Rhinolophus ferrumequinum: one gene and its partner. The protein of the gene in region 2 interacts with the protein of the main gene of each other region in a pairwise test. Links are inferred from orthologs where the notes say so. Each region holds a gene or a part of one and is shown on either strand. Other genes may lie near its edges.

The links. The genes of interacting proteins can lie anywhere in the genome.
Region 1: the proteins of VENTX (region 2) and TBX22 interact in binary tests that used the Homo sapiens proteins (3 or more experiments, as listed by UniProt). The two-hybrid records come from large-scale screens. The link is inferred for Rhinolophus ferrumequinum from reciprocal best matches to the Homo sapiens genes VENTX and TBX22.

Annotation. Positions count from the first base shown.
Region 1 is NC_046284.1:73,947,358-73,951,102, forward strand, and holds the start of TBX22 (T-box transcription factor TBX22), read right to left. Parts: upstream 2,277-3,745; coding exon 2,108-2,276; intron 1,489-2,107; coding exon 1,311-1,488; intron 476-1,310; coding exon 374-475; intron 1-373. UniProt on the Homo sapiens protein: Probable transcriptional regulator involved in developmental processes. This is major determinant crucial to palatogenesis.
Region 2 is NC_046299.1:302,255-305,999, reverse strand, and holds the start of VENTX (homeobox protein VENTX), read left to right. Parts: upstream 1-1,216; 5' UTR 1,217-1,221; intron 1,222-2,257; 5' UTR 2,258-2,298; intron 2,299-2,889; 5' UTR 2,890-2,969; coding exon 2,970-2,982; intron 2,983-3,745. UniProt on the Homo sapiens protein: May be involved in ventralization.

The DNA.
Region 1 (3,745 bases), on a different chromosome or scaffold from region 2:
ACCACAACCCTGAGCCCAGTACGGACCTAGAAGCCCAGGCATTTGTCCCCAAATTCCTTCACATAGCTTCCTAGCCTCCTGAACCCACACCTTCTGTAGTTTGGACAGCCAAAGCCAGAAGAGTGGGTAGGTGAAGGGTTTGGGAGACATTGAAACACCAATTGGCACCTGCTTCCACGAGTTAGAGGAAAACAGAGGAAACTTGCTCTTCTCTCACTGTGAAACCCAGGTTGAGCGAGCAAATTCAACTCTCATCCCTCCCCACCCCGCCACCCCCCATTTTAGAGTTTTTCAAAACAGCACTCTCAGGTTACAAAGAACAGAATCCCCATTCCCAGCCCGGGCCTGGGGTATCCTTCTTTGGGCAGGTTACCTGTAGCGTTTGGAATCCACAGGCACCACGTCGATGGCCACACAGTACTGCTTCCCTGGGTCCAGACCTTTCACCTTGACCCGAACAGAGGGGAACATCCGCCTGTGGAAGAGAAAATAGCGACTGACCTGGGCGCTTTTAGAGACAGTTGGAGTGGGGCAAGGATGGGGACAAATGAGAAGTGAATAAATTCACAATACCCTTCTCATTCTAGGACAGGTTTAGGGAATGTCATTTGCTACATGAAAACAGACTGTTGGTTGTATACGTGATTGAGCAAGTTCAAGATTTCTGATTAGAGCAGAATATCCTTACCACAAGGCTTTGTCCACCCTACTCCCCACTACCATCATAATAAAAAAACTATGGAAGAGCAAGGAAGAGAGAAAAAGCTGTGCCCCTCCCCTCAAGTTTTCAGCACTACTTTCTGTGAGGCAGATTTAGGAAAGACTGCAATTAGGAAGATTCACACAAAAAATTACCCAGCTGCCCCAAAGAAGCTGCCCAACAACAAAAGGTCAAAGTGGGAATGGTCCACCTCAAACTAGCCTGGGCTAGGTGGGATGGATAGGCTGCTAGATGGGATATTATCCACTGATAACTGTGAGGATTTAATGGAGAGGCCTGACCATAACTTAAGATGTGGGGGTGGCATCTGGCACCTGCCTTAGCAGGTCTAATTTTTGTAGTACATCACACAGGTAAAAGCTGGGAGAATGAGTCATTGGAGTCACAATGTACAGGAAAGCCACTGACATGGGCCAGGTACTATCCTACTCTGATCCATTGAGAGGCAGTGGCTTTATAATGACTGTCGGGGGTGGAGACATGGGGGGATGGGTGCTAGAGCGTAAAACTGGAGGCACCACATCTTATGAGAGAGTTATATTAAGTATCTACTGTGTGTGGCCCTTGAACAGCTTGGGCAGAGCCGAACCTGCCGGCCTTGGTAATAATCATTTCAGTCCCTATGTCATGGAATCTCTTCCACAGCTCGAATCCTTGAAGCTCCACTTGGATAGCATCGTTCTCTCCCAGACTTTCACTGCTGTTGCCGCCGCCGCCACAGCCTGAGAATGCAGTTGCCGAGGGCTCTTTCTTGGGTCGCTTTTCTGCTGGATACAGAGACGCCAAGAGTTTGAGAGAGCTTGGCCGTTAGCACACTCCCTTCTCGCTGACGCCTGTCTCGGAGCAGACCCACCTTGTCTCTTCCCCGGGGACCTTGGCGGTGGAGCCCCAAGTTCCCGCAACACCCATTGTAGCCCCCTGATGGTGAGCAAGTAGTCCACGTCGCACCCTGTGAAAGGCACGGTCCTTCTTCAAATTTACCCATCCTCACCAGTATCTCTGAGACTTTAGGTCTCGGAGGCTGAATCCCCTCGGAATCTGGGTGCGTGCCCTGCTTCCTACCCTGAGAAACAGCCACCCTCTGGCTCTCAGGGCTTTGGGGAGGTTGGAGAGTCTCACTTCTCCACAAACATGTGGAGATCTTCTCCTTCACCGTAAATGAACCACAAATTTTTTGCTGAACTTGGAGGCTCTGAAACTTCCCTAACAGCCAGGTGGCCAAGGTGGCCCGCGGCGGCCCCGAAAGCGGCCATCGCCTGGGCCAGGATTTCCAATGGTAGTAGTACTAGCCGCCCTCCTGCAGCTTCGCAGACCACGCTGGAATTTGCAGATCCAGCAAGAGTGGGTAACAGGCTCAGGGCTTTGGGGTGCGGTTGGGGTACTTACCCGGCTTGCTTTTTCGCCCTGCGCCGCTCCCTCTCTCTTCCTCCTCTCCGCCCTCTTTCTCCAGCAGCTCAGGCTGAGCCTCCTCTCGTCGTTCCTGCAGTTTTCTTTTGCTGGGTCTCCCCACTAAGGCTTCCACCGAGAAGGCGTGTGCCCGAGAGCTCAGAGCCATCCTTGGAGGGGGAGAAGGGAATGTGCACTGCAAATTTTCAACCTGAGCTGGGTTAGGGAGGGAGGAGGAGGGAGGGCGCAGAGGACAGGCGAAGGAGGGAAAGCGGGGGTGGAGGGGGGACCCAAATCAGAAAAAACAATTTTTGGATTAATATATATTCAAAGAAAAAAGATGTGTGTGTATATAATTTTTATATATACGTATATATTTTTCTTTGAATAGGATGAAAGAGAAGGAAGATCAAACTGAAGCCAAAGTCCTTTGGAGTTTAGTCCTCCTTCCCTCTGCGGTCTCCTCCCTCCCAACAGACATGTGCGCACCATCAGTCCTCTACTCCCTGATTCCAGGGCCTGGCAGAACGCAGAGATTGGCAAGCGCGGGCCTCTTAGGGAGCGGACCTGCCACCAATGGCGGCTCAGGCGGCTCAGGTTAAGAGATACTGTTGCATCCAACTAAGTGACTACCAAGCCCGTCGCAGCCTCCACTGTTTGTTTTGGAAACTGCTGGAAACATTAAAAATAAAAATGAGTGACACTTCAGAGTCTGACAGGGAGTAGGGATGGAGTGGGGTTGAGGGTTAGCTGGAAAGGGGCTCGCGATAGTGGGGAGGAGAGATACACACAATTACTCTTTTACTTTAAATTGTGAAACTCAAAGACATGCGAAATTGCCCATGAGTTGCCCATGAGGGGTCACTTTTCCAGCAAAAGTGCAAATATTTTTTAACCAGATCCAGAAAAGTGTATCAGGGTCTTTTGTTTCCCAGTGAGCATACTGGAGAAACGATTTATTTTTTCATACTAAGTTTTCAAAACCTGGCATGTAGTTTTTACTTGCAGCACATCTAGTGTGTTCTAAGCACATCTCATGTTGCTAGTAGTTACCATATAGGATGGAGCAGCTCAGGGTGATTCTGGGGCCTCTAGACCACTTTGCTGTAAGCCAGTAGCAACTATCCGTTTTGCCCTAATGAAGCTAGAGGAATGCAAGCTTTCTGTGGGCCTGGGGTGGGGTTTGTTCTGTAGTCTGGGTCTCAAACTGGGTGGGCAGTGTACTGGTCTGTCCTCTATCCAGGTGGGGAGGCAAAGGGTGGGCAGGAGGCTCCCAGATGCCCGTTATCGATGATCAGAGCAATCCTGAGTCTTCAAGCTCTGCCTGTACTGGAGCCCAATATTCTCACACACAGCCTCTTCTTACTCACCTGATTTAATCAACAAACATAGCCTAAGGGCTTCAGGTGCCACCAGCAGAGCACCAAGGGGAACTTTACTCCCAAGGATGAGGGACCTCAAAATGATGGGCTCAAATAATTGATTCCAATGTTTCCTGGAATATCTCCCTGGGCTCGGTTTTGCTTTCCTTTAAAATGGATAAAGACACCTTCTTTGTTCAGGAAGAGACTTGCCTACCACTTCCAAGGAGCATGGCTATGCACGCAGATATAAGATGTCTGCCTGCATACCTGGGAT
Region 2 (3,745 bases):
TGCTGGGCCTCCGAGTGACAGACGGCACTGAGAGCGTGGGGAGCGCGTCCACCGTTCAACTCTAGGCCCCGCCACCCGCAGGTACAGGTGGGAGGGGACTCCGTCGCCTGCAGGCGCAGGGTTTGGGAGTATGTCGCCCCGACATAGAGGCCCGCGGCCGAGAGCACAGGCCACGCCCGCATGCTATCACGGGGTCTCCCAGGAAGACGGCCTAGGGGCTGCTGCGGAGTAGTAAACCCGGAGTGCGGGTCCCAGAGCCAGGGGAAGGGCAAGGTCCCGGCAGCCCCAAAAGCTGATCCTAAGCCCATTGAGGAAGCTGAGGCCGGGCATGGGTGACAGCTGTCACTGTCTCGAACAGCCGGGTTAGAGGGAGGGACCCAGACTACAGAAGGGGACGGGAGACCCCACTGGACGGGAGCCAGTCAGGTGAGAGGACAGCGTGCCGGAGCCCGTGGCAGGGCTGAAGGGAATGAGGGAGGGACCACTGGGCAGGAAGGGGGCCAGCAGCCTGGAGCTGGAGGGGAGGACTCCGGAAGGAGGGGGGCTATCTGACCTGCAGAGGCGCCGTCACCTTTGGACTCAGGAGAGGTGTTCAGGTGTGTGGGGGGGGCCGGGAATCTGGGAAAGTGAAGGCGGAGGGCCGCTAGAGAGTCCGGGATTAGACAGGAAGTCGCGCAGCACAATTGGGTTGCTGCGGGAGGTGTGGGTATGTGGTCGAGAGGCCAAAGGCCCGGCCCTAAAGACTAGAAATGGAAAGATGCCAAGTGCAGAAGCGGTGCGCATGAACGCCGACATTTCCTAAATGACAGCTTTGGGCGCATAGCTGGGCAATCCCAGGAAATGTGGCTCTTTATCTAGAGGCCTGTTCTGAGCACGTGGAGCTGTCCTGGGGGATACTTCCTTCTGCCAGGTTTGTGAGGCACCCCCAACCTGTCTGTCCCCGGAGGAGCTCTGCGCAGGCCCCCACCGGACGGGCCTCTGTCCCCAGGTAGCAGAACGTCCATGTCGTGTTGGCGCCAGAAGCCTGCCACACCCGCGTCCGGGGCCCCGCGCAGTGAGGGGGGGCGCCCCGCTAATCGCAAGCTGCAGCTCTTACCACACACTCCGCGAGACACGTGGCGAGTGATTCAAATCCCTAGCTTCATCCCGCGGAGTCCAGTGACCGAATGCGGTCGGTGCAGAGGCCGGAGGAACACCCCAGTCAGAGTCAGAGGCGTTGCGGTCAGTCCCCGACCTTTCACCTAGACCACGGGCCAACACGGGCCGGTTCCCGCTGTGCCGGTGGTAGTCCGGCTCCCACATCCCTGGCCCGTCCCTTCCGAGAGGCTGGGGAGGCGGGGCTGGGGTGTTAATCCCAGGGCGAGGCCCGCGGGCCCTTTGATTCCACAGGCTGGGGGCGCGGGGGTGGTCGTCGGTGCTGGGCCCAGACTGGCGCTGGCGCCCCAGGAGCCCAAGCTGCTGACCCAACCGTCTGCACCAAAGCCTCGGCATAGGCTCAGGGGCTGGACCAGCGCCTGCACCTGACTCCGGCCCCGGGGACGCACGCGAACTCCTAGCTGGCATTCTAGGGGTGCTCAGATCCGGGCGGTGGGTTTTTGCCTCGACTGCACCCGGTATGCTTGTGCTGGTCTTGTCCAGGAGACAGATGTGGTCGGCCAAGGTTGGCATAGAGGTCCAGAGGAGGCTGGACCAGCCTGGTTAGAGGGGCAACCACCGCACGGTGTCCACCCGGCTGAGCCTGCTGCCTCCCCCAGAGTACCGGGCCCTGGACGGGACCTGGCCAGTTCAGGAGAGAAGCAGCCACAGGGACAGGGTGACCTCCAGGCACTCCCCTGAAGCTCAGGCTCCATAGTGCCCTGTCACAAAAGTGGCAACTGAGTTACAGTCTGTCCCAGAGGTGGTGAGTCTGTTGGCCTTCCTGCTGGATTCCTCCTGGGAACAGCGCAGGGAGGTGGCCCAGCCCTGAGCCAGCAGACCTCCTCCTCCCTCCTCCTTTGTGTCACCCAAATCTGGAGGCAACTTGTGGCACCGGGACGAAACCCAGAAGAGGGGCTGGGAGTGACGAGACAGAAGGGCCTGTGGGAGCCTGGAGCAGACCCTCCCTGCCATGCCTGGCTTGTAGCAGTCACCTACCAGGAATGTCTGCCTTACATTCCGGCCCAGCCAGGCAGCCTGGACACAGCAGACACTGGTCGAACCCACCCCATCCTGAGAGCAGGATGCCGACTCCCCCAAGTTGAAGCGACCTCTCTCTCAGTTGCACAGTTGTCACCTCAGCACTGCAGACCCACAGGGCAGGTGGGAGAACCAACTAGGGGAGAGAAGATGGTCTGGCACCCCACAGGACAAGGCCCCAGCTTGGGAGCAGAGGTGGGAGGGGGCCATCCTCACCTTCCTGCTGCCTAGGCCAGTCCTGGTGGGGGTGGGGAGAGATGAAAGGATGTAACAAGTCCCCAGCCACCACAGCTCCCTTAACCATTGACCGCAGCCCCGCCCCTCCCCCAGACATCTTGGAGCCGGGGGAGGTGTGAATGGCCTCCTTTGTGCCTCTGAATTGAAGGCAATTAGATGCTACTTATCTGGGGGGATTTGAGCCATCTACGCAAACCCACCTCCCACCCGCTTCTCTGGAGCTTATAAATGCAGCCCTGCCCTGCTAAACCTGAGGCGGATCCAGTGCTCAGCCCGCCCCGCCTGCCACCCAACCCACAGCAGACCCCACGCCTGGCCCCCACCATCCAGTCATGCATCCTTCCTCCACACTGCCCGGTAGCCGAAAGCAGACCTCGAGCTTTGGCTGTGTGGACTGGCTCTCCCAGAGTAGCCATGTGGGCCGCTTGCACACTTCCAGACCTGGTGACGTTTCCTGGGGGGACCTCTCTGTCCCAGCCAGGGTGTCCAGCAGTTGGGAGGCCCCTCAGACCGTGGGCGTGGAGGAGCTGAAGTCCTCAGAAGCGTCTGTGCCAGGGATGTCCACAGCTGGTAGGTCTGGGAGTGTGGGGGGGTCCCTTCCTTCCCAGATTGGGATGGAAGTTGGAGAGAAGGGAACATGCCCCTGCCACATCCCGTGTGCTTGGGCGGGACAAGGGACCCAAGGGCCGGGGTTGGGGTCCCGCCTTACCCTCTGGCAAGTGAGCTTCCCCTCGGAAGCACAAGCCACAATGGGTTTCCCTCCTCACTCTTGGGGCTCCTCCAGCCTCCTCCTAGAGGGGCTGGCCCCCTGCCCCCACCCAGGCCTGCCGCCTGGGTCCCCACGGGGACACTGACGTTAGCACCTTTGTTTGCTTGGTTTTTGCGTCCATAATAGTCCTGGACCCATTTCTACAAGTGTCACAAGGTCGCAGATAAGTATGCCTTAAAGCTTGTGACATCTGCCCAGGTCATGGGGGTGGTTGTGGTCCCCCCCACAAAGCTGGCACCTCAGTTTGGCATCTAGACTTTGGCCAGTCCACAGTCCGCCTGCAGTCCTGCAGGTTTGGTTCAGGGGCAGCCAGGACTCTGCCTGAAGCCACAGCCTCTGCGTTTCTGCATGTGTGAATTTGTGAATTTCTCCGGCTTCGGCCCGTTCATCTCTGGGAGTCTCTGTGGCTCCTAAGCCTTATCTGACCCTTTGTCGTTTGCTGATGGCACTTTCTCGGTTTGTTTTTTACTCTTTGTGACTTAATCATTGGTTTAGGTTTAAAGACAGGCATGGTTGAAGTGGGGGTTGATGTTATCTAAGTTTTCATTTTTAAAAAAGTTTAAA